Linked DNA regions of Lonchura striata. The protein of the gene in region 1 interacts with the protein of each later gene in a pairwise test. Links are inferred from orthologs where the notes say so. Each region holds a gene or a part of one and is shown in the gene's direction. Other genes may lie near its edges. The genes, in order: CWF19L2, GFAP, SF3B4 and MEOX1.

Evidence for each region.
Region 2: the proteins of CWF19L2 (region 1) and GFAP interact in binary tests that used the Homo sapiens proteins (3 or more experiments, as listed by UniProt). The link is inferred for Lonchura striata from reciprocal best matches to the Homo sapiens genes CWF19L2 and GFAP.
Region 3: the proteins of CWF19L2 (region 1) and SF3B4 interact in binary tests that used the Homo sapiens proteins (3 or more experiments, as listed by UniProt). The two-hybrid records come from large-scale screens. The link is inferred for Lonchura striata from reciprocal best matches to the Homo sapiens genes CWF19L2 and SF3B4.
Region 4: the proteins of CWF19L2 (region 1) and MEOX1 interact in binary tests that used the Homo sapiens proteins (3 or more experiments, as listed by UniProt). The two-hybrid records come from large-scale screens. The link is inferred for Lonchura striata from reciprocal best matches to the Homo sapiens genes CWF19L2 and MEOX1.

The regions. Positions count from the first base shown.
Region 1 is NC_134604.1:44,166,092-44,173,284, reverse strand, and holds the start of CWF19L2 (CWF19-like protein 2), read left to right. Parts: upstream 1-4,189; 5' UTR 4,190-4,198; coding exon 4,199-4,264; intron 4,265-7,193.
Region 2 is NC_134627.1:2,883,107-2,891,296, forward strand, and holds the start of GFAP (glial fibrillary acidic protein), read left to right. Parts: upstream 1-4,892; 5' UTR 4,893-4,951; coding exon 4,952-5,265; intron 5,266-5,752; coding exon 5,753-5,813; intron 5,814-6,175; coding exon 6,176-6,271; intron 6,272-6,336; coding exon 6,337-6,498; intron 6,499-6,735; coding exon 6,736-6,861; intron 6,862-7,060; coding exon 7,061-7,281; intron 7,282-7,472; coding exon 7,473-7,516; intron 7,517-8,169; coding exon 8,170-8,190. Other genes in the region: Ig-like V-type domain-containing protein FAM187A, read left to right, coding at 1-548.
Region 3 is NC_134635.1:2,714,816-2,722,021, reverse strand, and holds the start of SF3B4 (splicing factor 3B subunit 4), read left to right. Parts: upstream 1-4,078; 5' UTR 4,079-4,093; coding exon 4,094-4,127; intron 4,128-4,724; coding exon 4,725-4,853; intron 4,854-5,127; coding exon 5,128-5,670; intron 5,671-6,676; coding exon 6,677-6,871; intron 6,872-7,206. UniProt on the Homo sapiens protein: Component of the 17S U2 SnRNP complex of the spliceosome, a large ribonucleoprotein complex that removes introns from transcribed pre-mRNAs.
Region 4 is NC_134627.1:5,975,571-5,983,834, forward strand, and holds the start of MEOX1 (homeobox protein MOX-1), read left to right. Parts: upstream 1-5,190; 5' UTR 5,191-5,205; coding exon 5,206-5,584; intron 5,585-8,264. UniProt on the Homo sapiens protein: Mesodermal transcription factor that plays a key role in somitogenesis and is specifically required for sclerotome development. Required for maintenance of the sclerotome polarity and formation of the cranio-cervical joints.

The DNA.
Region 1 (7,193 bases):
TTTTATTTCTGAGACAAGACAATGACAATTCCCTTCTAAGTAATCCCTCAGAACTGGATGTAAAGGACGGCTTGATAGTACCAATGGCAACTGAAAACTAGGTGGTTTTAAAAATGAACAGAATGAGAATTAACTGAAACTAAGTACATTTTGACTGGGGTGTGTCCCCTTTCTGTCCTCTTACTATGATCTTACTGGATAATGTTTTTCTTTAGTATGAGGACTTCATAATGTGTTGTTGTAACTGAGGTAAGAAATGCTCTCCAGCATCACAGTGGGAAAAGATTTTGTTTTCTCAGGAAAAAACAAAAAACAACTCTTTTCCCTAGTGAAACCTTGCATCTAGTTTAAAGAAAACTGCACAGTATCACACTGAGTAGAGAGGATTTTTTTTTAACCTTTTTGAAATAAAAATAAAACAAGCTGAGAGTTAAAGCACGTAGTGAAAGTTAAAAGCATGGAGGTTTATAACACACATCAGTTGGAGAGTGACCAATTTCTTTCAGAAAAAGTGTAAAATGTGCCATTAAATGGAAAATAATACTTCACTAGGAAAGGTCAGTTCCTCCCTGAAGTTCATAAAAATCAGTATATCCAGGGTATTACTGTTTTGTTAGCCTTTTGATTTTGGCACAGAGAATTAGACAACTGAGCAGAGGTGCCCAGCTGACCATTAAAAGTGGTATACCAAGAAGTATCTCTCTAGGCTCACTGAAGATTTCTGAGCATGTGAAGAGCTCTCAGACATACCAATATCTTCAAAGAAATAAGGGTAAACTTTAGTTTTTACCTGCTCCATTTAAGAAAATACTTTTCTCAAAAAAAGGAGAGGAAATGAAATTAAATTATGCCACCATTTCCCTAACCACTGACTTCAAAATTAAAGGCAGCCCTCAGATATAACTTTCTAGGTTTTACTGTTCTTCAGATTCTAGAGCATATTTGTGTCATAGTTTCTTTCCTAAAACCAGGAGTATTAGAAAATCATTTTAAATTAAAATTTACAGAACCACCCTATTAATGACATGGAGGGTTACAGGTTTGAAGAATGGCACCTAACAATGCAAGAGCTCACCCTGTGCTTTGAATCCTCTTCTTTGTCTGTAACTTTCTGCTGTAGAAAATACATTCCCTGTTCTCACTCCCAAATTGTCCACATCTGTCACTATTCACACTATGCCACAGTCTCCAGACTTTCTGTTCGCATTTTCAAATACTTCCTAAACTGATTCAGTCACAAGTAGTTGGCTCAGCTCATGGACTATCAATTTTCTGTTTAGATTTAATACAAATCTATTAAGCCCATATGCCTGGCTGTGTGCTGAGCGAGTTAGAGAGCACCCACTTGAGATACTCTGCTGGCTGCCTGGAACAAGTGGTAGCACTGGGATGGAAAGAAACCAATTTGTTGGTGAGAAGAGCACATCACAATCAGAGAAGAGGCTTTCCTTAATGGGGCAAACATGCTCTTTTCTTGCTTCTCCTCTTTCAAGCAGTGTACTTTGCTGTATATAGCCAAGGACTGGAAGTAGCATTAGTCAATCCTGCTGGAACATCTTCTGTATCCATCTGTTTCCTCTGTAAATGGCTCCCTGAAGAGGTTTCACATGCTGCTTTTCCAAATGGTGCCTATGAAAGTCTATCAGTTATCATTCTATACCTGTGGTGATCTACAGCAGGTTTTTCTTGAGATGCTGTTAACTGTCAGCATAAATTGAACAATTGTGCAAATTTAATTTACACATTTAATACCACCATGGAGATGATGATTAAATTACTGTTACCACTTTAAAAACATACTGTCCCATGCAAATAGCTAACAAATTACCCAAGATCTTCACTCAGACCTTGGCCTAAATAATATTACTTGGCAGCTGTGGACACGTTTGGTGTCAGACACATTAATAATGCTCTGATCTCATCCCAAAGAAATTATGTCCCAGATAAACATTTGTTTCACCAGAGGCAAAGAAGCCCTGTCAAATGGTGTTGACCAGCTGCAACTTCCAAATGGTTGAACACACCTGCTTTTGCATTTCCCTCTGCTCACCCGTGCACATTCTGGGCAGCCAGCACCCTGACATTACAGAGGTCACAGTCTAACATGGATGCACTGAACTGGCTGAAAACAGGTAAGAAAGTGTCTGGAAAATCACCTGGAGGTGTTCACAGCAATGGGGAGCACTGGGCACTGCAGAGCACCTGAACCTGTGAGCATCTTTCAGGCCACGTTCCCTTGTTTGCTCTCATTAATGCCAGTCTGGACAAGCAGGCTAGGGTCTGTGCAAGGGAATTTCAGCCCAGCAGGAGGGATGAGCCTGGATGTCAGTATCCCCAGTGCTGAGGATTGCATTTAGTGCTCAGTGTGCAGCTGCAGGCTGAGTACTGGGGAGAAGCCTGAGCCTGAGGCAAGAGACTCTGAAACTGCCAAAGGGTACAGGGACTTGTGGTGCCAGCCAGGTGCCTGGACACTCCGGGACATGGAAGGAGCCAAGGGTTCTAGACATGGCTCTGCTTGGACTGTGCTTGTGAGGGTGTAAGAGCCCTGAGATTTCTTCACTTGGGGTCCCTCCTTGAAGACACCCAGCTCAAGTTGTCATTTTGTTGTGGTATTGTGATTAAACTATTTTAAGGATTGAGACGTCAGAGACTTTGCTGTGGGAAACCTGGGGTTGAGCCAGTAAGGAAGCCTTGTCTGACTGTGGGGTGTGTAGCTGCCAGGGCAGCTCAGGTGGTGTGAGTGTGACTGCTGGAGAGGCTTCCGGGCGGCTGCACAGGGAAGTTTCCTTAATGCCCATTGCAGGACTGTGTGGTCCTGTTGGTCAGGTAGCACAGGGTTCCAATAAGCTGCTGTGCCAGGACATGGTCTTTGCTGGGACTTCCACCTGTGATGCTGGTGAGCTCTGAGCAAGGTGTGGGGAACCCACCTGGGTGCGTGGGATGGGGCAACCCTGGATGTGCAGACAGACTGGGACAGACTGAGGCTGGAAAGCAGCACCATGGAAAGGGACCTGGGGGTTCTGGTGTGTGGCAAGCTGAACATGAGCCAGCAGTGCCCTGGCAGCCAGGAGGGCCAACCCTGTCCTGGGGGGCATCAGGCACAGCATGGCCAGCTGGGCAAGGGAGGGGATTGTCCTGCTCTGCACTGGGGCAGCCTCACCTCCAGTGCTGGGTGTCACAATGTAAAACAGACACAAAGCTGTTAGAGACTGCCCAAAGGAGGGCAATGAAGATGGTGAAGGGACTGGAGGAGCCATTTGAGGAACGACTGAGGGCACTTGGTGTGTTCAGCCTGGAGGATACTGAGGGGAGACCTCATCACGGTCTGCAGCTTCCTTGTGAGAGGAAGAGGAGCGGCAGGCACTGATCTCTGCTCTATGGTGAGCAGTGACAGAGCCGAGGAAACAGGCGTGCAGCTCAGCCAGGGGAAGTTCAAGTTGGATACTGAGAAAAGGTTCTTCACCCAGAGGGTGGTTGGGCACTGGAACAGGCTCCCCAGGGAAGTGGTCACAGCACCAAGCCTGACAGAGTTCAAGAAGCATTTGGACAACGCTCTCACAAGAATCAGACGGTGTGGTTCTTGGGGATGGTCCTGCGTAGGAGCTGGGCATTGATGATCCATGTGGGTCCCTTCCAGCTCAGGACATTCCATGACTCTATAACCCTGCCATGAACCGAGCGAGAACAGAGGGGCTGAGGGGCCGAGCCGTGCCAGACCCCGGCTCCGGGAGGTCCCCGCCGTGCCCGGCTATCCCCGCTGTTCCCCCGTGCCCGGCTATCCCCGCTATCCCCCTATCCCCGCTGTTCCCGCTATCCCCGCTATCCCCCTATCCCTGCTGTCCCCGCTATCCCGGCCATCCCCGCTGTCCCCCGTGCCCCGCTATCCCCGCTATTCCCCTATCCCCGCTGTCCCCGCTATCCCGGCCATCCCCGCTGTCCCCCGTGCCCCGCTATCCCCGCTATCCCCCGCTATCCCCGCTATCCCCCTATCCCCGCTGTCCCCCGTGCCCCGCTATCCCCGCTATCCCCCTATCCCCGCTGTCCCCGCTATCCCGGCCATCCCCGCTGTCCCCCGTGCCCCGCAGTCGGGCGCCGCCGCAGCCGCCCCACCCCGCCCCCCCGGGGCGCTGTTCACGACAGTGTCGGGCGGCGCTGCCGTACGGCCCGCGCGGTTTCCGGCGGGCGGTGCGGATGGCGGATGGCGTCCGGGGCGGCGGGCGAGCGCGGCCGGGAGCGGCGGGAGCGGGCGGCGCTGCCGGCACAGGTGGGGTCGCCGGCCTTGCCCGGCCTTGCCCGGGCTGCTCAGCACCTCGCCGTTCCCTGGGCTTGGCGCTGGGTGCTGCGCGGGTCGGTGCGCTCCTGAAGGCGGCCTGGCCGCGGCGGCCGCAGGCGGGGAGGCCGAGGGAGAGCCCCTCTGTGCCTAGGGCAGCTGGGCTGCGGCACCGACGGTGGCGGGACGCAGTCTGGAACTCCTGCGTGGCACCCACCCGGTTTCGTGCGTTTTGCCACTTGTGGTATTGATCCTCTTGGTATTTCACTTATTATGTATTTCTGTGCTTACACTTTTGGAAAGAGCCGGAGTCTTTACCGTCTCGCTTCAGATCTTTTATACATTGATAAGATGGCACCACCCTCACTCCCCGGCTGAACAGACCCAGCTCTCAGCCTTTCCTTAAATGAGACTTAAAAGGCGATAACTTCTCCTTGTCTTATGGCCCATCTTTCCTAAAGAGTCTGTATCCCTCCATTGCAACATTCTGGTCATAGACTGATAATAACTTGAAGTTGTGTGCATGTGTTAAGAAGTGGGAGCCTGATTTCATAGGGTCAGTTTTGTGCCTGGTGATATGTTACTGTACTGTAAGACAAGAATTAGGAGGCTCCCACTCTCAGGTGCTTTGGTAGAGATGCTGTGACTTGGAGACCCATGCTAATCCTGGTGCATTTTGTTCAAAATCTGCCTGGTTTTGGTATTTGTGATGATTCAGGTTGTCACTTGTAGGTAGAGTGAATGCTGAAGTCACAAATGGCACATCACTTAAGTGACATGGCTTGTTTTTGGGGTTTAAGGGAAGTGTAAGAGAAGTGTAAGAGAAATACTGTGGAAAGAGGATGAGGTTGTGATGATAGGCTTTTGACAAAAGGAAGGCTAGGGTAAGCAGCAGTCAAATCTTTCTGGGCAAAGATATTGTCAGAAAAAATGTAGTGGGCAAATGACCTGATTAGCCTGATGCTGACAGAGCAGTGATGCCTTTTCTCAAGGCAAAGCAGAAAGAGAGAGGATTTTATGTAATATATCATGTGGGCATCTCCTTTATGGAACCATTTCTTGGCAATAAAAGTTCCCTTCAGCGATTTCCCCCCCTTTTGACAAGCAGTTGAAAGGAAATTAACTTAGTAACAACGAGTCACACTGCCCTGCAAAAGTTTGTTGATGTTGTTAGGATGTTTGTTGCTTTACTCAAACTTCACCTTTGCTCAGTTCAACCTCTTGGATGTTCAGAAAATGCACTTAACAGAAGAAAAGCTTATGTAGGGCACTGTTATCCTACTTTACCTTTCCTTCTCAGCTGGTGCCCCTTGTACAGCAAGTTGCCTGGGCCAATGCCACTGGCTTAGAATCATAGAACAGCCCTGGCTGGAAAGACCTTGAAAGATCACTTGGTCCAACCCCTTGTGGGAAAGGCAGCCTAGGTGAGATTATTTAGTCCTCTGTTCAGTCATATCTTGAAAAACTCCAGTGGCAGGGTTAAGGAAACTCTCCTGGCTGATCATTCAGGAAGCACAGTCCCCAACCCAGGATGCACTCCCACCACACGAGGCTCTCACTGCTGGCACTGGAGCCTTTTGTGGAGAGCAGCTCCAGTGAGCCAGTGTGTGCTCTGCTTGGTTCCCTATACACAACACTCACACTCAGACAAGCTTCCCTTTCCAGCTTGACCCCAGGTTTTCCATGGAAGAGTCAGAGACATCTGAATCCTTACAATAGTTTAATCATGGTGCAGAACACGAAGTCAGTTTGAGCTGGGTGCCTCCAAGGAGGGGTCCTGAACAACCAAATCTCTGAGCTTTTATACCCTTGCAGTCTTAAGTGTGCCATAGTCTGGGTTCATCCTGCTGAGTCCTTGGCTCCTGCAGTGGCTCCGAGTGCCTCAGTGCTCTCCTGGCTGGCCCCACAATGAGAGACCCAGAGGTCTCTCATTGTGCACAGGGGCAGCACCACTTCAAGGCCTTTTTGCTTGAGGCACAGGTTGTTTTGGCACAGTTCCAGTAGTTGCTAGAAAGTTTGGTATCTTGAGCAGGGGGGCTACACTTCTCACTGCACTACGTCTCAAAGAGTTGCTGCACTTCAGCACCAGGGTACGCTGTTAGGATATGTCTCAAGAGTTGTTTGATGATGCTGCAGCTTCTTAGGTCCTAACTCTCGGTGTTAATTCTTGTAGGTTTAGATTCTGTTCATCAGCCTTGCTGAAGAATATTAGAGAAAGTGGTTTGGAGTTTTTAGAATTAAACCAAATCTGGCATTTTTTATTATTGCTAAGCTGTAGTGTATTAAAAGGTGTGTATATAGGATCTTTGTTGAATTTTGTAATTTTCTTTGACTTGAACAAGAAACAGACCATCATTGTATTGTTCAGCATATTTTTAAAATGCCATGAATACAAATTACTCCTACATGAATATCTTAAAAATGCATTTGCAGTATTTGTGTGATACTAGAGAAAACCCAGTGCACAACACTAATTTTCTGGAGTAAGACAAACTGATTTTCTTTGTACAGCAGTGGGCTCAGAGTTGGCTTTTACCATTCAAAACGAACAGATGGGCAGTAAATAGCTCTATAAAGATGCTACGTCATTGCTTAGACAAAAGCTGATCAAGTATTAGAACCACTGAGATGAATAAAGAGCAAAGGAAGTGGTTGCATGGTCATGTTACCCAGTTCTGTGTCAAATAGCTTATGCAGCCCTGGTCCCAGCATCTCAAGAAGAGCCAAAGAACCTTGGGCACGGTGGGAAGAAAGGTGCAGAGATGATCATGGTGCAGACTGGCCAAGGACTCTAGAGGTTTTGAGACAAGGAAAGATAGGGAAACAGAATGGAGTATAATTTGTGAAATGCTAGCCACTATGATTCTTCAAGTTCATTTTTTGTGGAGTGTAGGAATGGATCTGGAGACAATGATGTTTTCTA
Region 2 (8,190 bases), on another chromosome or scaffold:
GGAGCCCCGAGGTGGCCGTCCGGAGCTGCCTGGCCCCTTGCCCGGAGAAGCGAGTCCCCGAGGAGGGCGTGCAGTCCATCTCCAACATCATTTACAAGCTGGGCGAGAAGCCCGAGCTGCCCCGCGTCCCCATGCAGTACCACAGCCAGCCCCCCAAAAGCGACCTGGTCCTCACGTGCCCGGGAGCGCGGCCGGAGCACGCCGTGGCCTGGGACAAGGGCTCCGTGCGCCTCTACCGCTCCCACTACCTGCTGGGGGTCCGGAAGCACATGAGGCTCTTCATCGACCACGGGAACCACCTGCACCTCCAGCGGCTGCGCAGGAGGGACAAAGCCACCTACTTCTGCTGGCGGGAGGGCGAGCTGGTGGCCGGCTTCCAGCTCAGTGTCACCTTCCAGCCCCGGCGCCAGCGCAGCCCCACCGACCCCGAGTCAGTCTTCGTCATGAGGGCCGTGGGCATCAGCTTTGCCATCATCATCGGCATCTTCTTCCTCATCCACCTGTCCCGCTGGAGCTCTCAGGTGTTCAGGAAAGTGGCCAAGTCATAGCAGCTCCCCCACAGGACACTCGGACACCTTGGGTCGCCCTCATGCAGGAAATTTCCAATGTGAGGACCATTTTCATATATTTTGGTTTCAATGTTTGGTTTTGACCTTTTGAAGGGAAAATAATTTTTTTTCCCCAAATTATTCTGGCAATTTTCTTCAGAACCGCCTCTGCTTTTGAGGTGTTTTTAACTCATCCAATTCAGCACAGAGCTGGGAGTCAGTATTTGTGCCTGACAGGGTTATCTTACACATCCCTCAAAGGTGGTGGCATCTCTGCAGGGTTTCAGCAGGGAGCAGGATGTGCCCTCCAGGCTCATCTCCTTTGTTTGAGGATGTGACTTGAGGATTTCAGCAATCCCAAGGGAACTGCTGCTGTCTGGGAGGGCACTGTGGGTCCCAGCGATGCTCTGGAACTTGAACAGTGTAGATGATAGCGAACCAAACACCTGGTGAGGACATGAGAAGCAAAGTCAGGGAGGGAGGCAGGAAGGGATGGAGCTATGGAAAACAATCTGTGTCTCCCACATTCAGGGATGAAGCAGGGCACAGCTGGTTGGGTCCTTAACGGGCAACAAACCCACCCAAAGCCCCAGCATGAGCCAGGAGGGGCTCACACACAGAGGCAGCTCCAGGCCTGACTCTCCCTCGGGACTTTGCCACCAAACTCAGCCCCAGACAGAGCCTGGTGCCAGCAGGCACCAGCCAGGGCTGTGGGTGCCAAGCCAGGGCTGGTGCAGGCCAGGGGAGCACAGCCACCAAGACTCATCAGGCAGCATTGCTCCATGCCTTCCCCTCTGAATCCCTAAAAATGTCCCACTAGAACCCCACATGCTTCCCCCACTGCCCTGTAATCTCCCCTATCCCCCCCAGGAGCAACCCCTGCAGGGCCAGAGGTGCTGGAAGCTGAGGACTGCTCCTGTATCTCTGCAGCCCGTGGTTTGCTTGTTGGGAGGCAGAGCTGGCAGCAGGAAGGGCACATTTCCAGCACAGCTCAGGGATTCGTGCAGGCAGGAATCCAGGACCCACCAACGAGCCCAGCTGGGAGCTGGCTGGAAAATCCTGCAGACACCTGGGCTGCTCCCCCGAGAGCAGCCAGGGGCCAGGCTGAAGTGACAGCCAGAGCCTGCACCTGCCCAGGCAGCCCTGACAGCCCTGAGAATTTGGGCAAGGGCCTGGCTGGAGCTGAAATCCACTGGCAGCTTTGCACCCAGACAGCAGAGAGCACATGAACAGAGCCCCTGGGGAGCAGCACTGCCAGCTCGGGCCGAGGGGACAGCCCGGGGACGTTGGTGCTGGCCCAGGTGTGCAGGTGTGTTTCCTGCCCCAGAGCCGGCAGCCCTCACCTGGAAGATGGCGTGGGAGCGGGAGGAGGAGGCGTTGGCCTTGGTGGGACGCTGTGCTCGGTTTTTATTGCCTTTGGCCAACATGTCCAGGAGCTGCTCTGGTGTCGTGGGCTGGGGGAGAACGGGCAGGGGCCGGATCAGCACCTGGGCAGGGCAGCCGGGCACCCCGAGGCCGAGCAGCCCCGGGCAGCTCTGCGGGCCCCGGGCAGCTCGAGGCCACCTCTGCTGCCAGCCAGGAGCCAGGAGGCTCCTGAGACCTCCCCACCCCGTGTCCCCAGGGTGCTCTCAGCACTGGTGCGGGCACAGAACAGTTTCAGGCTGTGTTTTGGGGTTGCTCTTGTGTCTCCCCATTCCCGCAGAGCTGCTGGAGGACACAGCTCCAGGTCCAATGGTCTGGGGTGCTCATGCACTCCTTGGGGGGAGGGTTGGTTCAGCGGGAGGATGCAGTGGGGGAGAGAGATCTCCAGGCTGGGAGAGGTCTCAGAGACTCTCTCTGGGCTCTGCTTCCCACTGCCTCCCTGTGCCACCCCCAGGCAGTTCCCCCTTAGAGCCCCCCGTGAGCCTGAACCCCCTTCAGGCTCCCACAGCCTCCCCAAAACACAACCTGACACCCACGGCTTCCCCAGTTATTCTGCAGCCCTTTTGCCTCCCACAGCTCCCACAGGACACGGGGAGCCAGGATTCAGGAGCAGCTCCCAGCTGAGCTGGCCTGAAAAAGGCTCTTGCTCTGGGGTTGGGCTCCGTTGTGGCTTCCCCCCATCTCCATCATCCCAGGGTCCTGTGGGGGCCTCCGCACCCTCTTCTGAGCTGGGGGAGGTCTGGGCACCCTGCCCAGTGTCCCAGAGTGCAGGTGAGGGGTGGGGGAGCCGCCTGCCCTCCTGGGACCTGACACTGTGTAGTGATGGGAAAGGTTTTGTTCTGTATTTCTGCTCTGCCCCATCACTGCCACCCGTGCGACAGCCCCACCCCGGGACAGAGACCCCCAAGCACCCAACGCAGGGTCCGGTGCTCCCACCACCCTGTGATCCCCTTTCCTGCCGTGCCAGGGCACATCTGGCACTGTCACATCTGGTTCCCTGCAGCAGCTCCTCGCAGCCGCCCTCGGTGTGACCGGGAGGGGCAGAGCGGGGCCGGGGCAGCCCCGGGCGCTGCTGTCCCACGGGGCCGGGGTCACCGGCTCCTCCCGGCTCCTCCCGGCTCCTCCCGGCTCCTCCCGGCTCCTCCCGGCTCCTTCCCTGCCCGGCAGCTGCTGATCTCGCCTCTGTCTCCTTCAGCCTGGAAGCTTCCAATTAAAACTGCCAGCCCGCTGCCAGTTCCTTTGTCTCCTTAGGGGGGCCAGGGAAGAGGAGGAGGAGGAGGAGGAGGAGGGGGAGCCCAGCTCTGCCTCCCGCCGCTGCCGGCAGTGGCCGCTTCCCGTGCTTTGATCGCGCTGCGTGGGAGCCGGGAGAGAATCAATCCCTGGGGAGCAGCGGGTGCCCACACAGGACCCCAAAGCTCCGCAGCCCCCGCTCTGTCCCCCAAGGACCCCAAAGCTCCGCAGCCCCCGCTCTGTCCCCCTGCACCCCGCTGTGCACCGGGAGGGAGGTGTCCTGTCACCAGAGCTGCCGCACAGCACGTGTCTCCAGGGATGCCGCTGTTGTGGCGGTGACACAAGAGTCACTGGGGGATGTGTAGGAGCTCCAAACCTGGAATTCCTGTGGGCACAATCCCTGCTGACACCAGCACAGGACAGCCGGGAGAACACGGGGCTGGCTGGAGGCAGGGAGCTTCTGGGGGTTAAAGAAGGATGTGGGAGCTGTGCCAGTCCCACCAGTCTCACCAGTATGGTCCCTGCTGGCTCTGGCTCTCCCAGGGCTGCACCCACAGGGACGCAGCCGTAGCCACAGCTCTCCCCAATGGCCACTGTTGGTGGCCCAGTGATGGTGGCCGTGGTCCAGCCGAGTGTTCCCCCGGCAGGCAAGAGCCTTTCCCGGCCATCGGCTGCCATCTACTGCCAGCGACGGGGCCGGTCCCTGCCCCTGTCCCTATCCGCAATCCCTGTCCCCCAGTCCCTGTCCCTGTCCCTGTCCCTGTCCCTGCAGCAGAGTCCCAGGGACACTCCTGTCTTCACCCTGGCTGCTTCTCGGGGCACCCACCCTTGTGCCACCACGTGTGGCTCCTGTCCCCATGTCCCCAGAACGCCCCCATCCCCTCCCTGGGCCGTGCCCAGGACCCCTCCGTGCCCCAGTTTGTGCCCATTCCTCCGTGCCAGGGAGGGACGGGGCTGGCGCTGGCGCCGTGCCCGCCTGGATCAGCCCCCCGCGCTTCCCGGCAGCGCCGTGCCCTGGCACAAAGGCTCCTCCCGGCTGTGCCCGGCTCCGGCTCCGCACAAAGCCCCTTTCAGCCGCTGCGGAAAGCCCCTGGCAGCCCCTGCCCTGCGCCCCCAGGGGCAAAGCCCCCAGACCAGCGCACTGGCAGTGACACGGCCACGCACACTCAGCTGTGCGGGACCAGCGCCTTCCCACGGGGACCCGGGGCCACTCGGGACGGGGACTGCGGCTCCAGGGCCACCAGCCACTGCTTCCACAGACCCTTGGGATGGGAGGGATTTAGGAGGCTCCAGCCACCTAATTAACACCTGGTCTTCATTAGCAGCACCCCCAGTGCCCCACGGATCGCAGCCAGCCTGGCACCAGCTCCCACCCCGCTCTGTCCCCACCGTGGCGCGTTCCCCGAGCCCTGCAGTGCCCGGAGCGGGGGCAGCGGTGGGCAGGGGCTGTGCCGCGGTGCCCGGGCCGGGTGCCAGGGCACAGCCACCCCGCCGGGCGCCACAGCCTGGCGCCGTGCCGGCCGCTGGCTCCCGGCCGGGGGCAGCGGGCAGGACGGGGCTCCGGGCTCCATAAAAACCCTCCGCGGGCACATCGCGCCCAGCCGCCCGGCATGGAGAGCCGGCGCCCGCCCTCGCACGGCCCCTCCGTGCCCGCGTCCCGGGCGCTCCCCGGCAGAGCCCCGGGCCGGCTCCGGGCGCCCCGCAGCCCGCAGCTGGGAGCCCGCCCGGGGCCCCGCCTGGGCTCGCCCGGGATGGACTTCTCGCTGGCCACGGCGCTCAACTCGGAGTTCAGGGAGACGCGCACCAACGAGAGGGTGGAGATGATGGAGCTCAACGACCGCTTCGCCAGCTACATCGAGAAGGTGCGGCTGCTGGAGCAGCAGAACCGGGCGCTGCGGCTGGAGCTGAGCCAGGAGCGGGGCCGGGAGCCCTCGCGCGTGGCCGACATCTGCCAGGAGGAGCTGCGGGAGCTGCGGCGCCGCGTGGAGCGCTTGGCCACCGCCAAGGCCCGGCTGGAGACGGAGAGGGACAACCTGGCCCAGGACCTCGGCAGCCTCCAGCAGAAGTAAGGCGCTGTCCAGCTCGGGGTAGCCCTGGGGAGCAGGGTGGCCCACTTGGGATGGGTGTCAGGGTGACCACCAGGACCAGGGTGGCCACTGGAACCAAAGTGGCAGCGGGGACCAGGATGGACACCAGGATGGTGATCAGGATGTTCCTGGTGATGGGAACCACGGTGGTGACAGGGACCAGGGTGATCCCTGGGACCAGAATGGAGTCCAGGGTGTACTCAGGGGTCAGAGTGGCCCCTGAGACAGGAGCGAGGTGGCCCTGGGGACCAGGGACTGGTGTGCACCTGGACTGTGATGGGATATGGGTGACCCCTGGGAACAGTGTGGGGTTTGTGTGGGGGTGTGTGGGGTGGGCACAAGAGCTGACCTGGGTTTGGAGGGGTGCTGGTGCTGTAGGGCTGTCGGGCCAGGGGGGTCTGTCTGTGGGCTGAGAGTGACCAGCCACGGTGCTGGACGTGTCACTGTGCCTCTGCTCTGGCACAGGCTGCAGGATGAGGTGACCCTGAGGCTGGAGGCTGAGAGCAACCTGGCTGCCTACAGGCAGGTAAGGGCAGGGGCCAGATCCTGGCTTGGCCTGCTCTGGGAATGGGCAGGGATGGACAGGGATGTAGCAGAGACAGGAAGGGATGGGGAGGAGCAGGAACTGAGGGACTCGTATGTGTTACAATGAGCAGGTAGGGAGCAGGAATGGAGCAGGGATGAATGGGAAGGGCAGGGATGGACAGATATGGAACATGGATGGGCAGGAATGGCAGGAGCAAGCAGTGAGGGACTGGGAAATGCTGTGATGGGCAGAGAGAGGCGGGGCTGGGTGGGAGTGGGAGGGAATGGACATGACCAGGCAGCTCAGGATAGAGACCCAGGTGGCCAGCTGGGACAGTCCCTCCTGTCCCCTCACAATGACAGGATGTGGATAACGCTGCCTTGGCTCGCCTGGACCTGGAGAGGCGTGTGGGGACCCTGCAGGATGAGATCACCTTCCTCCACAAGGTCCACGAGGAGGTAACCCCGCTCTGGGCCTGGGGGTCTGGGGCTCAGGGGCTGCCCTGACCCCCCTGTCCCCACAGGAGCTGCGGGAGCTGCAGGAGCAGCTGGCCCGGCAGCGGGTGCACGTCGAGGTGGACGCGAGCAAGCCGGACCTGACGGCCGCCCTGCGCCACATCCGCAGCCAGTACGAGGCCATGGCCGCCAGCAACGTCCAGGAGACCGAGGAGTGGTACAAGTCCAAGGTGCAGTGGGAGCTGGCTGCCCCACAGATGGATGGCCTGGCTGTCCCCTCCCAAGGTGTCACCATCTCGGGGCCGGGGTTGGTGGTGTGCGGGGTTTGGGGTCTCTGCTGTCCCCATGTGCTCCTGGGGCCGTGTCCCTGCTGTGGAGCAGAGCAGGGTCGTGTTCCCACGCCGTGTGCCACCAGAACACAGCCCTGCCCTGGGGTCCCATGCCACGGCACACGTCCCCTGTCCCAGTTCGCAGATCTGACGGACGCGGCCGCCCGGCACGCCGAGGCCTTGAGGGTGGCCAAGCAGAAGGCCAACGAGTACCGGCGCCAGCTGCAGAACCTCACCTGCGACCTGGAGGCTCTGCGGGCCTCGGTAGGTGACAGCCGGGGGGTGCAAGAGCAGGGACACGGCCTCAGGGAGCTGCCAGCACCAGGGGTTCCCTGCTAGGACCACCCCCACAGCCAGGGGAATGGCTGGTCCCCAAGGGTGGGAGACAGATGGACGCTGGGGAGAGCCCCCAGCTCCTGGAGAAGGTGCCATGGAGGGAGTCACAGCCCCCGTGGCCCCCCAGAATGAGTCCCTGCAGAGGCAGCTGCGGGAGCTGGAGGAGCGCTACGCCCTGGAGACGGCCAGCTACCAGGACACGGTGGGGCGGCTGGAGGAGGACATCCACAGCCTCAAGGAGGAGATGGCCCAGCACCTGCAGGACTACCAGGACCTGCTCAACGTCAAGCTGGCCCTCGACATTGAGATCGCCACATACCGCAAGCTGCTGGAGGGCGAGGAGAGCAGGTGACAGCTCCATCCTGCCCCTCACCCCAACCCAGCCATGCCCCTAACCAAGCCCAAGTCCTCATGGTCCCTCTGGGGTGTCCAGCTGGGTTGGGGACCATCCTCCAGCCCTGCTGCCAGAGCCCCAGGCAGGTGGAGCGGGGGGGCAGCAGGACCTGGTGCTCTTCCCAATGCTCCCATTGCCCCTGCAGGATCGCCATCCCTGTGCAGAGCTTCTCCAACCTGCAGATCCGAGGTGAGGCTGTGCCCCACGCGTGGGAAGGGGCAGTGGGATGGTGGCACAAACTGGGGTGGCTTCTGGGGGCTCTGTGGCAGGAGAAGCCACCTTAGCCATCTCTGCCCTATTCAGAGGGATCAGGAAGTTTTTCTCTGAATGCCAGGGAATCTCTTGGTGCTCCCAGGGTAGGGGGAGGAGGGTGCCATGACCATATCCCCAAGGCTGAACATGTCCCCAAGGCCGATGATGTCCCCAGTACTGATCACATCATCGTGTCCTCAATGACAACTACATCCCTAAGGCCAGCTGTGTTCCTCAGTGACAACTGTGGCCCCAAGGACAACCCTGTCCCCAGGCTCAATCACATCCCAAAGCCACCCATGTCCCCATGGTCCACAACATCTCCAAGGTGAGAAATGTCCCCAGTGCCCCCACAGCCCAACTGTGTCCCCAGGACACATCAGATCCTGCAGCCTGCCACATCCCCAAGGCCAACCATGTCCCTGAGCCAGCCCTGTCCCTGAGGTTGGTTGTGTCCCCAGGGCTGCTGTCTCTCATGTTCAGGGGTTTCCAGCCCAATTAATTTTCTTTGGGCTTCTTCTCGTGAGTGTGGCTGGAAGGGCCATACCCGGGGCAGGGTGTCACTGCCTTGTCCTGCCCATGTCCCCCAGAAACCAGCCTGGACACCAAAT
Region 3 (7,206 bases), on another chromosome or scaffold:
CTCTGGGCTACCCGCGGCTCCGAGGAAGCCTGGGGGGGGCTCACGCCTCACACCCCAGCCCTGGCTGCCCTCGCAGGTGGCCAACGCCATCGCACAGGCACGGGAGGCGGCTGCGTGGCTCGGAGATGCTGCCGAGGCACACGACGGCTGCTCCAGCCGTGGAGGAGCCGCCCCAGAAGAGGAGGAGGAGGATGAGGAGGAAGGCTCGTCCACCGTGCTGCTCTTCGAGAGCCTGCGGGACTGGGAGAAGGAGCTGCAGCGTCTGGGCGCTGCGGGCTGGAGGGTGAGCGCCGTCAATGAGCGCTTCGACATGGCCCCGAGGTACAGCCCCGGGGGTCCCCAGCACTGTCTGAGCCACTGGAAATGGCACCCGAGATTTGGGGGACCCCACCCGTGTCCCACCTTCCCACAGCCTCCCCCAGTACCTCTGGGTGCCCAGTGGGCTTCTGGACCACGACCTCAAGCGAACTTTTGGCCACTTTCAGGAGCGACGGGTGCCTGTGAGTGCCTGGGCAGGGTGGGGGGCACTGGGAGGGGATGTGGGGGTGTCACCCCGATTTTTTTGCAGCGCCTGTGCTGGCACCACCCGGGTGGAGGGGACCTGCTGAGAGCTGCCAGCTTTCACCGGGCCTCGGAGCCAGGCAGCGAGGATGTGAGGTGGGTGCCAGGGGGCCCCGGGGTGGGGGGCTGAGGGTGCCCCTGGCCAGGCCCCTCTTGGGGTTCCCTGTGCCCCCCAACCTGTCCCCTCTTGGGGTTCCCTGTGCCCCCCAACCTGTCCCCACCCGGGGCTCCCTGTGCCCCCCAACCTGGCCCCACCCGGGGCTCCCTGTGCCCCCCAGGTGCCTGGAGGCGCTGCTGCTGGGGGACCGCGGGCCCTGCGTGTTGGCTGACACGGCCGAGCTGCCCACGCTGGCCGACATCCAGCTCGCCCACCTGAGGCTGCGGGAGCTCTGCCTGCCTGGTGAGTGGCACTGGGCGGACCCCGAGGACCCCCAAACTCCCCCTGGGGAGCTGGGAACCCCCCATTGAAACTCCCTCCCGTGGGATCCAGGCGCGGTGGCAGAGGAGAAGTGGCTCTCGGCCCTGGAGGGGACACGCTGGTTGGACCACGTCCGGTGAGCAGGGGGTCTTTGGGGTGTAGGGTGGTATTTTGGGGAAAATTCACCATAAATCCCATGGTGGAATGTCCGCCCCCAGCCCACCTGGCACTGTGGGGCAGTGGGGGCATTGTGGTGGGTGCATGAGCCACCCAAAGGGGTGACAGTGACATTTTGGGGTGCCCTGAAGCCCTGCTTTTGCCCCCCAGCTCCTGCCTGAGAAAAGCAGTGGAGGTGGCGTCGCTGCTGGCAGGGAAGCGCTGCTCCGTGGTTCTGCAAGGTGTGGGGCTGGAAAAGGACAGGAGGGGGCTGGAAAGGGGACCCCCATCATCACCACATTGCCCCCCCAGAGCCCTCGGACCGGGACCTGAACTGCCTGGTGGCCTCTCTGGTGCAGCTCCTGGGGGACCCCCACGCCCGCTCCCTGCCTGGCTTCCAGAGCCTGGTGCAGCGGGAGTGGGTGGCAGCCGGGCACCCCTTCCCACGCCGGCTGGGGCTGCTCTGCCAGGACAGCCCTCGGGAGGAGGTGAGACCCCCATTGCTGTCCCAGTGGGGTGACAGAAGCTGGGACAGCCCTCGGGAGGAGGTGAGACCCCCATTGCTGCCCCAGCGGGGTGACAGGAGCTGGGACAGCCCTCGGGAGGAGGTGAGACCCCCATTGCTGCCCCAGCGGGGTGACAGGAGCTGGGACAGCCCTCGGGAGGAGGTGAGACCCCCATTGCTGCCCCAGCGGGGTGACAGGAGCTGGGACAGCCCTCGGGAGGAGGTGAGACCCCCATTGCTGTCCCAGCGGGGTGACAGGAGCTGGGACAGCCCTCGGGAGGAGGTGAGACCCCCATTGCTGTCCCAGTGGGGTGACAGGAGCTGGGACAGCCCTCGGGAGGAGGTGAGACCCCCATTGCTGTCCCAACGGGGTGACAGGAGCTGGGACAGCCCTCGGGAGGAGGTGAGACCCCCATTGCTGTCCCAGTGGGGTGACAGGAGCTGGGACCTGCCTGTGAGGGGTGAGCCCCCCCCCCAATCCCGAATCCCCCCCAGGCCCCCGTGTTCCTGCTGTTCCTGGACTGCACCTGGCAGCTCCTGTGGCAATTCCCGGCGGATTTTGGCTTCACTGAGGCTTTTCTCCTGGCGCTCCACGACAGCAGCTTCAGCCCCTACTTCAGCACTTTCCGCTTCAGCTGCCAACGCCAGCAGGGCCACAGCGGCACGGTGAGGGGCATTGCTGCACCCCCAAACTCTCCCATCTCACCCCTTCTCCATCCCCATTCCCAAACTGGGGACGGGCACCCCCAGATCTCCCATTTTACCCCTTTTTTCCCCCCGGCTCCGTGCCTCAGTTTCCCCATCCCAAAGAGGGGACTGACTTCCCAACCACTTCCCCCACAGCCGCGGCTCCCCAGCCAGATCTACCGACCCATGGGGGGCTGGCAGGACCCTGGGGGACACAGGGGAGGCCCCCAGCCCTGCAGCTTTCCCCCGGTGTGGGCCTGGGGCCGGCGCTACACCCGGCAGCAGCGGGAGCAGTTCCAGAACCCCGCGGGACCCCCGGGCCCTGCTGAGTCCCGGACCCCCAGCACGGTGAGTATGGCTGGCCTGGGGGGGGCTGCACCCTTCCTTTGCTTCCCTTTTTCCCTTAATCCCTATTTTTATCCCCTCCGTTTCCTCTTTCTTTCATCCCCTTTTATTTCCAAATCCTGTTTTTTCACCCCGCTTTTCCTCCCCCATTTTCCTTTCACCCCTTTTTGATTTTCCCTAATCCCCGCTCCCCCTTTGCCAGCCCGCAGACCCCTGCCCGTGGCGGGGTGCCAGCCTGGTGCTGACGCTGGCCAAGGGCTCCTTGTGCCCTCACCCCCTGCCCTGGTGGAGCCGCCCCCCCCTGCGCCCCCCATTGCGGGGGTCCCCCTCGGACAGCCAGGGGACACAGGGGGGGCTCCTGGGGACCTGCCAGCCCACCCCGGGGCTGCTCCTGCCCTGCACCGCCGGGCCCTGCGTCCGCCTCTGGCACCGCTGCTACCTCAGGGGGCTGCCCCAGGAACAGGTACTGGGGAAACTGAGGCACGGGGGAGGGCTGGAGACTGGGGGTGGTGGTTTGGGGGGGGTCCCAGTCTGGCTGGGGGGGAGGATGGAGCCAGTTTGTGTGCAGCTGGTGTCTGTGTGTCCATGGGGGTGGAGGGATGGATGGACGGATGGATGATGAATGATGGATGGATGGATGGATGATGGATGGACAGATGGACCCCATGTCCATCCATCCCATCTCGTCCATGTTCCCATCCTGTGCTGAACATCCTGCCCCGTGTTCCCATCCTCGTGTCCCTGTCCCATGATGAACACTGCACCTCTCCATGTCCTGCTCCCCGTGTCCTTGTCCCCACGCCGTGCCGGCCGCTCTCTCTGCAGCGCGGGCGCTTGGCCCCATCGCTGGCCGGGCTGGCTGAGGAGCTGCAGCTGCTCCAGGACCGTCTCCACACCTGGACCCTGCGGAGGCCGCACTGAGAGCCGGGGGCACCCGAGCCAGCCCAGCCCCGCTCGGGGGCTCTCAGCAGAGAGCTGCTCCAGCTGCTCCCGCCGCCTCCGCTTGCTCGGCGGTGCCGGGAAGGGCGAGCGGCGGCTCCCGAGGTGCCCCCGCTGCTGCACGGGCGCTGCGGGCTCTCGGTCCCCCATTAAATCTGTGCTGCCTCCATGAGGCTCCGGGAGCTCAGCGATGGGGATGGGATGGGGACGCTGCGGGAGCGCACACCTGGGACCTCCGCGCCGCTGGGATCATGGGGCACTGAGGGCACTGCTGGCCGTGTCGGGAGAGAAAGGCCATGTCGCGACAGAAGGGGTCCTGTCGCGACAGAACGAAGCGCGGCGGTCCCTGCCCGCACCCAAGATGGCGGCCGCGCCTTCCCCTCACGACGGCGCTTCCCGCCAACGCCGGGCTCGCGCCTTGACGTCACGCGCGGCGTGCGTGCGTGCGTGCGTGCGGCGCCGCGCGCGCGGAGCGGGGCAAGATGGCGGCGGGGCCGATCTCGGAGAGGAACCAGGGTGGGAGCGGCGGCAGCGGCCCGGGGGCACCGGGGCAGCGCTCTGGGGACGCCTGAGTGCACCGGGGCCGTGCGGGGTGCTGGCGAGGGCTCTGTGGGGAGTGGGGAGTCCTTGGAAGCGCTGGAGGGGGTTTTGGGCCGCGGGGGGATACGGAGGGAGGAGCAGGCGGAGCTCCGAGGCCACGGTGGGCTGGGGTTTTTCCCAAAGGAAAAAGAGGCTGTGGGGCTCCTGGATTAAGGGTGGCGAGGAGAGATTGGGGTTTGTGGGGGTTTTGGCTGGAGGGTTTTGAGTGGAGTGATTTTGAGTGGAGGGTTTTGAGGGAAGGGTTTTGGCTGAAGGTTTTGAGAGGAGGATCTTGACCGGAGGGTTTTGAGGGGACGATTTTGACCGGAGGGTTTTGCGGGGAGGATTTTGATGGGGGGGTTTTGAGGGGAGGATTTTGAATAGAGACTTTTGAGTGGAGGATTTTGACGGGAGGGTTTTGAGGGAAGGGTTTTGGCCGGAGGGTTTTGACCGGAGGGTTTTGAGGGGAGGGTTTTGGGTGACTCTGAGCGCGGGGGGTGGCGGGGTCCCGGCGCTGAGCCCCGTTCCTCGCAGATGCCACGGTGTACGTGGGGGGCCTGGACGAGAAGGTCAGCGAGCCCCTGCTCTGGGAGCTCTTCCTGCAGGCCGGGCCGGTGGTCAACACGCACATGCCCAAGGACCGGGTCACGGGCCAGCACCAGGGTGAGGGACCCCCAAAACGGCAACGAGGGGGGTGGGATTGTGGTGTGGGAGAGGGGGGGATCATCCTCTGTCCCTCAGGAGGTGTTGGTTTGCATGAAGTGGGGATTGAATCGAGTATGAGGTGGTATACAATAAAACCAAGGGGGTTTCAGTCGATAATTACATGGGGTTTTTAACGAGCTGGAGTTTTAAATCGGGGTGTGGGGAGTGGCTTTGTGCCCTGAAGTCATTTAGGGGTCTTGCCCCACCCCTGAGCTCCTTTGGGATCCCCCAGGCTACGGCTTCGTGGAGTTCCTGAGCGAGGAGGACGCCGACTACGCCATCAAGATCATGAACATGATCAAGCTCTACGGCAAACCCATCCGGGTGAACAAGGCCTCGGCCCACAACAAGAACCTGGACGTGGGCGCCAACATCTTCATCGGCAACCTGGACCCCGAGATCGACGAGAAGCTCCTCTACGACACCTTCAGCGCCTTCGGGGTCATCCTGCAGACCCCCAAGATCATGAGGGACCCCGACACGGGCAACTCCAAGGGTTACGCCTTCATCAACTTCGCCAGCTTCGACGCCTCCGACGCCGCCATCGAGGCCATGAACGGGCAGTACCTGTGCAACCGGCCCATCACCGTGTCCTACGCCTTCAAGAAGGACTCCAAGGGCGAGCGGCACGGCTCGGCGGCCGAGCGGCTGCTGGCGGCCCAGAACCCCCTGTCCCAGGCCGACCGGCCCCACCAGCTCTTCGCCGACGCGCCGCCGCCGCCCTCGGTGCCCGCGCCCGTGGTCACCGCGCTGGGGCCCGGCGTCACCCCGCCAGGTGGGTGCCACGGCTGCCCGGGGCGGGGCTCGAGGTGCTGGCGCGCGATCCCCGCCTCTTTCCTAAATTTTTAGGGTTTTTTTTTCCTCCTGGCCCATTTTCCAGCATGTGTATGGGGTGGGGCTCTTTCCCCGATTTTTTGGTTTTTTTTCCTCCTGGCCTATTTTCCAGCATCTTTATGAGGCAGGGCTCTTTCCCACATTTTTATGGGTTTTTTTCCTCCTGGCTCATTTTCCAGCCTCTGTATGGGGTGGGGCTTTTTCCCAGATTTTTAGGAATTTTTTCCCTCTTGGCTCACTTTCCAGCACATCTATGGGGCAGGGCTCTTTTCCAAATTTTGGGTTTTTTCCCTACTGGCCCATTTTCTAGCACCTGTATAGGGTGGGGCTTTTTCCCAAATTTTAGGGTTTTTTTTTCCTCCTGGCCCACTTTCCAGCACCTGTATGAGGCAGGGCTCTTTCCCAAATTTAGGGTATTTTTTCCTCCTGGCTCATTTTCCAGCACCTTTATGGGGCAGGGCTCTTTCCCAAATTTTGGGTTTTTTTTTCTCTTGGCTCACTCTCCATCAGTGTGCCCCACACCTGTATGGTATGGAGAGGGGCTGGGAACACAAACCCTGTGAGGAACAACTGAGGGAGTTGGGGATGTTCAGTCTGGAGAAAAGGAGACTCGGGAGTGACCCCATCACTTTACAACTTGTAAAATGGTTGGAGTCAGGTGGGCTTGGTCTCTTTTCTTCAGCAACTGACAGAACGAGAGGTTACGGTCTCAATCTGCCTGAAGGGAAGTACAGGCTGGATATCAGGAAAAGATTTTTTACAGAAAGAGTGATAAAGTTCTGGAGTGGCTGCCTGGGGAGGTGGTGGAGTCACCATCCCTGGAGGTGTTTAAAAAATGCCACTGAGTGCCATGGTTGAGCTGAGGCATTGGGGCTGGCTTGGATTTGATGATCTCGAAGTTCCATCTCTGATAATTCAGTGAATTCTGTGATTTCCCTCTGTGCCAGGCCTGCCTCCCCCCGGCTCCTTCCCTCCGCCGGTGCCGCCGCCGGGAGCGCTGCCCCCGGGGATGCCCCCGGCCATGCCCCCGCCGCCGATGCCCCCGGGCGCCGGAGCCCCGGGACCGCCCTCGGGAGCCGCCCCCGCCGGGGGACACCCCCCTCACCCGCACCCCTTCCCTCCGGGAGGGATGCACCACCCAGGTACGGGGCTGGGAGGGGCTGGGAGGGACCGGGAGAAGCTGGAAGGGACCGGGAGGAGGTGGAATGGGACCGGGAGGAGCTGGGAGGAGACCGGGAGGAGCTGGGAGGGTCCAGGAGGAGCTGGGAGGGGACAGGGAGGAGCTGGGAGGGGACATGGATCAGGATCTCCTCTTTTTGTCTTCCCTCCACCTCTCCTTTCCTCCCACTTCCTGCTGGACCTCTCAAACAATTCAAACGTCAGCGAGTTATTGAATTTCTGGGTCAGAACTAATTAGCTGACCGGTCCCTTTAAGTGTGGCATCCAGTAATTTTTTTGATAATTATCAAAATACTGG
Region 4 (8,264 bases), on another chromosome or scaffold:
GGTGACATCTACAACACTTTAACAAAGTAAAAATGGAGCCCTGTCTCTCTCTCTGCAAGGCCTTTTAAGGATAAACTGTCTAATTAAGAAATGACACCTCAATTATTTTTACTTTCAACCTAATAACCAACCACCCATGGCTGCAATGTGGACTTTTTATCCAATTACACAAAACCACCCAAACCCATGGAGAAGAAGGTGGAGAAGAAGGTGAAGAAGAACCAGCCTCCACTCTAAAATCGCCATCTTGCTTTTTATACATTACTATATATATAATTATACAATTATATATAATTGTACATTATATATATATATGTATAACTATTATTATATATTTATAAAACTTTAAACTCTTCCACCGTGTGATATTACACACTTCTATTCAAACTCCACACCCACAATTCCAATTTTATCATTCCCTTTTGGAAGCTTCTCCACAGCCTCAGGTCAGTGCAGTGCTCTCCTGGGGGTCAGTGCCTGGCAGCACAGAAAGTCTCAAATTCTCACCAATATTACACTTCTGCTATTCTTTTATTCTTCCAGACAGGCTGAGAAAACTGTTCAAATGAGTGATAGATACACAGAGCCCATCTCTGGGCCTGGCCTTTCCTCCTCAGCTCTCACAGCTGCTGCAGCCCCCTTCTCTCTGTTAAAGATACATATTATAATATTGGCTTTTTGCATATGTTAAAATATATTTTCCATGTGTAGTGTTAAAGTAACTTTGTTCTAAAAATATAGTTTTTATTTCTGTTGTTAATTAAACTGAGTGAAATAGCTGATGTAAGTATGCTTGTGTTAAAATGCCTGCTTGGATGGGATAACATCCAATGAATATATGAAAAAGACACCTGATACAGATCTGCCAACCACCAGCACTCACCGTCTGAAGAGAGTGCAGACCAAAGCCCAAAAACTGGAGGAAATAAGAATACACTAAAACCAAAAGGTATTTAAGGGATATCCCCAAAAGTAACAGTGTGCTCTTGCCTGAGTGCAAAGATGCACCTGGCCATAACAACCTTTACTCTATAATCCTTATCTCTTATTGTGTCCTTAATCTCCTATTAAAAAGTTTATTAAACTTTTAAATTTTCCCAAGAAAGTGAACATGTTTTTCACAAGTGCTGCTGTGGCTGCCCTTGTCACTCCTTCTCTGGAAAAAAACCTCTGCTGGGTGTGCAGAGGGCAGAAGAAGGGTCAGCTTCTGGGGCTGCTCCTTAGCTGGGGAAATCCCACAGAGAGAAAGCTCAAGGATAAATGGACAGAGAAAAAGCTCAAGGATAAATGGATAGAGAAAAAGCTGAAGGATAAATGGATAGAGAAAAAGCTGAAGGATAAATGGACAGAGGAAAAGCTCAAGGATAAATGCACAGAGGAGAAGCTCAAGGATAAAGGGAAAGAGGAAAAGCTGAATGATAAATGCGCAGAGAAAAAGCTCCAGGATAAATGCACAGAGGCAAAGCTCAAGGATAAATGGACAGAGAAAAAGCTGAAGGATAAATGGACAGATGAAAAGGTGAAGGATAAATGCACAGAGAAAAAGCTCCAGGATAAATGGATAGAGAAAAGCTCAAGGATAAATGGACAGAGGAAAAGCTCAAGGATAAAGGAAGAGAGTTAACAGGTCCAGGATAAATGCACAGAGAAAAGGTTAAGGATAAATGCACAGAGGAAAAGCTGAAGGATAAAGAAAGAGAGGAACAGCTCCAGGAAAAATGCACAGAGAAAAAGCTCAAGGATAAATGCACAGACGAAAAGCTGAAGGATAAATGCACAGAGGAAAAGCTCAAGGAAAATTCCCTGCCTCCCTACGGGAGCGCTCCTCACCAGCCCCACCTCCCCATGCGTGCCATCCTCCCCATGCATTTCCCAGCGGCGGGCCGCAGGGCTGTTGACTTTGCGGAGGTTGTTGATTTTGCGGAGGTGGTTGATTTGGCGGAGGTTGTTGACCCTGCGGAGGTTGTTGACCCTGCGGAGGTTAAAGGCACCAAACGGGGCTCGGCAGGCGGGCTCCCGCTGTGTCCCCGCAGGAGCCGTGGGAAGATGCCGCGGCCCCGGCCCCCGCCGCGGCGCCGAGTGGCGGCGGCAGCTGCGCGGCCGCGGAGCCCCGCGGGCTCCCAGCGCAGGGGGCACCGGGGATCTGCTGCTCCCACATCTGGGATGCAGCAGCGACGGCGAGAGCTGTCCCGGCGATGAGGGCGGGGGGGAAGACAAACGCTAAGCAATAGGACTGAGAAGCAAGCTCCGGCTTTATTCAAAGATACCTTAGCTTGTATGGGGTATTCTACAGGCATGGGCAGCGGTAAGCTCTGACCGCTTCATTTACAAAGGGCTTTGTTTTATTTCTCCTGCGTGCGGTTACAGATGTAGCTAAGTTCTCTCTCCAAGCCAAGTTTGTCATCTCTGAGCCATGCCTTCCAAGGACAGAGCATATCTTTGAGGCTATGCCTGTTCTTATTATCCCGTTCCCAGACCTTGTACCACTATGCAATTTCCCAGAAACAGAGACTGGTTTCCAAGCTGTGTATCCCAAGTTCCACAAAAGCCTGATTCTGGGGCCTTAGACAGAGGTTTTTTGGAACAGGTATTCCATAGAATCATGGCCTTGTTCTAACAACCATTCCCCAACACCCGAGTGGTCTCACCTGGAGGGAGACGATGTGGGAATCCCTGCTGGGGATCTGATCCTGACCCAAGTGGGTTTGGAACTAAGGGACAATCCTCCTTTCTTCTGTCCCTGTGTGAAAAATGCCAATCAGTTGGGTTTTTTTAATTTTAATAATAATAAAATGGTTATAAAAATAACAATATAATCACAGTAATAAAGTTTAGAGTTAGGACAATTACAAGACAATAAAAAGCAAAGAATTACAGATGTCTGGATGCTCTCGGACACTAGAAGTGTGCTTTGTGAACAAAGGAATAACTTTAAAAGCAATAGCCTGTTGTATATTCATATATCTCATACATGATGCATAAATTCTTTGCAAATTAAGAACTTTTTTTGGTTTTGTCAACTTCTTCTCCTTAATCTTGTTGGTTCTAGAAAGACAGAGAGAAGGCAGAAGAATGTTTGTCTTTTCTGATAAGGAGGCTGTAATTTTTTATGGGCCCCCTTCGCTACATCTCTGTGTGAAGAGTTTCTTGATTATTTCATCTTCTTGCTTGATCTTGTAACAAATCCTGTATTGTAGAGTTTCTATTTTAACATTATGTTGTAACCTAAAACTACATTTAACATACTACGCAAGAGAATTAATACAGCATAACTTTTTAACATTACACATATAATATTTATTGTAACATTTGTGGAAAGCTAATCATAAAATATGCATTTTTCACACCTGCAAGGACAAATGTTTGCTAATTAGAGAGATCTTTTTGTAGACTGAAGGCAGAACTGCAAAACATGTGAATTCATGCAAATTCTGAGTGACACATGTAAGTGAAGTGTTATACATATGTCAACACACACACACACATAGAGAATATAAATTAAATATTCTGCATGGGCAAAACCTTCTGGACTCTGACTTGGATTCTGACAGTGCCTGAAATATGTGCAGCATTCACAAATTCCTCAAAATCTTTCAGAAAAGGAGTCTGAGGGTCTTCCTCCTGCCTGTGAATATGAAATGCTTTTAAATGTTTACTATTTAATGCAGCAGAGCAACAGATTTAAGTGTTTAGGTGAGTTCTTTCTAGAGAATTAATTAGCTCTCAGATATTGAGAATTTTGCATGAAAATTTAGATTCCTGTGAGAGAAAGGAATTTGATGTTCCTGTTCAGAAGGATCTAAACGAAAATAATTTGATTTCCTGGAAAAAGGCCAAGTTCTAAAAACCAACAGATATAACAGCATAAACACATTCCCCACCTCACCCAGATTCCATTGAATTTTACAGTTCTGAACGATAAAAAAACCAAAATAACTTCAGTATCACTTCAGCTCTTGTGAAAAATGAAGACCTCATGTCTGTTAAATCCCTGTGCCCCTGAGACAGCACAAAACCCAGCAGCAGTGGTGGGAGAAGGGACAGAGGCACACACAACGTGGAGCAAGGCCAGGGGAGTATTTGAAATGGTTGCAAGCAGATTTCTGGAAACATGGAACACATGCCTACCTTAATTGTCATTAAAAATATTAATAACCCTGGCATAGCAGCGTTTGGGACATCCTCAGCTGCCACACTTCTGGGAAAAGGGGATTGAGAACAGATTCCCTGTTAATGTCTTTTCAGCTGGGATGGCTCTAGGGCCTAAAAAAACTCTGCTTTCTGTTAGGAAAAACTATAAAATGTTCAACAAAAGATGAAAAACATGTCTTTCATTGGCATAAAATCAGGACATTTCCTTGCAGGAGGGTGAATTGAAAATTCCCTAGAAAGTAGAATACAGAAAGAATAATTGCCACTGGCAGCAGACTCCAACCCTCGGCAAATATATGTGTTACAAATCTAACAAAACAAACAAATATTACTCAAAGCCTTGCATGTGTGTACAAGCCAGGTTTAATATTTTTTTTTAACCTTAGGATTGGGCTTTAAATTATATATAATTAGTGAAGTCCTTTCTTACTTCTATTTCCCACTTTAGTTCTTGAAATTTGGTGTCTATTGAATCCTGTTTTAGGGCTTTTTCTAAACCCAAGACGGAGAATTTTGTTAACAGTGCAATAAAAATAACTTCATAGTGTTACAAGGAAACATTAAAGACTTTTTTTTGTGTGTGCTGCTCTTTCCCTCGAAAAAAAAAAAAACTACAGACATTGTTTCTTTAAAAGGCTCCATCTGCAAATCCCATTAGATGTGCATATAAGGTTTCAGATGATTAATAGCTGCCTGCTTTGCTTTGGTTGGAGGGGCTGAGGGTATGTGTGTTAACCCCTCCCTCCCTTCGCTCACATTTCACTTCACAAACTTGCCACCGTCTCCCCGGCACAGTATTTAAAAAGTGTTTCCCTCGTGCCCAGCACTTCACCAGGGAGCAGCTCATGGCGTAATTCTGCTCCCCCAGCCAGGGCAATGAAGACCTTTAGAGCCAGAGTTGCTAAAGCAGCAAACCCGCAGCAGCACCAAAGCCACGCGCAGACTGTTGTTTAGGGAGGCGACCTGTGAAACTCGGGAGAGTTTCCCTGCGCTTCCCCCGTGCCTCTGGAGGCTGAGCGGAGCAGGCGGGAGCCGAGGCCGGCAGCGGCGCGGATGGAGCCCGGCAGCAGCGGCTGCCTGCGCAGCGCGCAGCGCCCCGCGCCCAGCGCAGCGCCGGGGCTCGGCCGCGGCCCCGCGGCGCCCTTCTCCTTCCAGCAGAAAGCACTCTGCGCCGCTTACCCCGACTTCTCAGCCTCCTGCCTGGTGACAGCTCCGCACAGCTTCCCCCAGGAGCAGCGCCCCTCGTTCCACTGCCCCGAGTGGCACCTGGCAGCAGGAGACAGCGCGGGACTGGCCCTGGCTGCTGGCGAGGCACAGGGCAGCAGCCCCAGCCTGCTGAGGCTGCCTGTGCCTCTGGAGGAAGATGAGGCAGCGGCGAACCCTACAAGTGACTCTGAGAAAAAGCCATCCCGAAGGAAAAAGGAAAGCGCAGGTAGGTGATATGAAATCAGGGTTGTGGTAGACTGCAGGAGATGGAATGAGAACACCTGGTGAGACTGGGACTTAAGAAAGAAAGCTGCTGAGCAAAACATTCCATAGTATTTGACTGGGGAAACTTTAGATGGTAACAGAACTGTTATTGTCTTATTCTTATTCTTATTCTTACTCTTATTCTTACTCTTATTCTTACTCTTATTCTTACTCTTATTCTTACTCTTATTCTTACTCTTATTCTTACTCTTATTCTTACTCTTATTCTTACTCTTATTCTTACTCTTATTCTTACTCTTATTCTTACTCTTACCCTTATCCTTACCCTTATCCTTACCCTTAATTACTCTTACTCTTACTCTTACTCTTAATTACTCTTACTCTTACTCTTCTTTTTCTGGTCTTTGTATTTCACTCCTGCACATCTTGGGTACTGAACATTTTACTCTCCAGCACAATGCACATTTGCTGTAACTGAGCAGGAGTCACATGGCATGTGCACACAGAGCTGAATTCTAGGGTGTGGAGTTATCCAGTCACACCTGCCATTTGTCTGAGCAAAAGAGAATGGCAGAGAGCAAAGATCCCTCATCTTGAGCTGCCTGTGCTAATAGGGAATGTCATATTAGGAATTTGACATCTCAGTTTATGGTAAGAAGTACAAGAGGCAAAGTCTTCCTTTAAATATAAATTCTGTTTGGTCTCACTAAATGTCAAATATTTTAACCTCAGAGCAGAAGGTTCAAAAACTTTGCCCATCAGTAAAATGTCCAACAATGCAGAAAATGTACATGGTTTTCATTGTGTCATCCTAGCTAGCAAAGAATTCTTTTTACACTGTAAAAATCAATAATTTTGTAATTATACAAACTCTAAGTTGCTGATAACTCAGATCCAAATCAGTGAAATATGCATAAAATTGTTTTTTCTTAGGAAGTTGTTACAATTTAAGATGCTCTTATGCATTCAAATGCCACAGTATTCACATACAAGCTACAGTGTGCTTTTCCCCACAGTCCTGCCAACAAGTGGAGAATATTTTCCAGTAGCCTAATTTCACAGGCAGAGAATGCAGGGATAAAAATATTAATTGATTGGTTTCTAGCTTTTGCAGACATTTGTAGAATTTAAGCTCATTTATACTAAAAAAAGCATGTTTAGGCAAAATTTTCCCAAATACAAAGAAGTTTAAATAAAATAGCAATTTAAAAGGTGAACAACGCTTTCATTAAAACATCAGCTAATCATAGGTAAACAGCAGATTTCAGCTTACTCACATTAGAGGGATATCTTTATCCTTAAAGAGACTGATACCCTCTTTTAAGTGGAAGAAAAACATTCCTTTATTTTCTCTTACTAGCACTCTTCACACTTCCTTTTCATACTTGCTGCTGTTCCCTACTCTCTTCCTTTCAGGGAGCTGTAAGCAATGACATCCCTGAGAGGTCTGGGCTTCCACCTTCCAGTGACCACTGCAGCCCTGGGGAGGGGCAGCTGCTAAATTCCACCCAGCATGGAACTGGTTGGGATCCTGGAAGGAGACACACTCCTTGGGAAAGGCACACATCTGCCTCTGGCTCCTTTCCTTTCCTTTCCTTTCCTTTCCTTTCCTTTCCTTTCCTTTCCTTTCCTTTCCTTTCCTTTCCTTTCCTTTCCTTTCCTTTCCTTTCCTTTCCCCTTTCCCCTTTCCCCTTTCCCCTTTCCCCTTTCCCCTTTCCCCTTTCCCCTTTCCCCTTTCCCCTTTCCCCTTTCCCCTTTCCCCTTTCCCCTTTCCCCTTTCCCCTTTCCCCTTTCCCCTTTCCCCTTTCCCCTTTCCCCTTTCCCCTTTCCCCTTTCCCCTTTCCCCTTTCCCCTTTCCCCTTTCCCCTTTCTTCTTTTTAAACTGGCTGTACAGTAGAAAAAACCTGTCCAAGATGATTTTGTCCTTTCACACGTTTGTCATTTCTCACATTCTGTTGTCAAAACTGAAGCAGCTGGGCCACGTTTCCACTTCTGGAATCTCACAGAACCCCAACCATGGACAAGGATTATTTCTCTTGACAATACCCTGTGGCACGCAGTGTCCTTGAGAGATTCCTAGCTACACACCCTACTCTGCCCCAGAAATACCCAAATATCCATTTTAAATTATTCCCACTGTCTTTTGGGGATGCAGACTGGTGGACCGCCCCTTGGAAAGGGAATCTGTCCCATGTACTTTGCACTGGCTGCTTGTTTTTAGTTTCTGCCCTGTGCTGAAGGCTTGGAGAGCTGCTGCACCCTCCACGTGTCCCTGAGGGCAGCAGAAGCCCCAGGGGAGGCTTTGGGCTCAAGGCTCCCAGGAGCTGGTGGCAAAGGTCCCAGCAAGAGATGCACACTTCAAATCCTGCTTCCCCCTGCTCCCTCCCAAGTCACACTTGTGAAATGTGATAGTGTGTCTGTGCAGTACAAAGGGGATTGTTCAACTGAGGGCAAAAACATGGGCAGAAACTTGTGAAGTTTTGTTCCTGTACATTCCCCATCTTTTTTTGTGGGTTTCTGAAGTAGCAGAAGCAGCATGGAACAAACCAAACTAATTCCCTGGAGTGGAAAGCAGCCCAGCTGCAGCGTGTGCCACACTGCTCCCTTGTGCATTCCCGGACCTGTGTTTGGTTTCTCCTTTTCTGATGGGCACAGATAAGGCCAGGTCAGTCACAAAACCT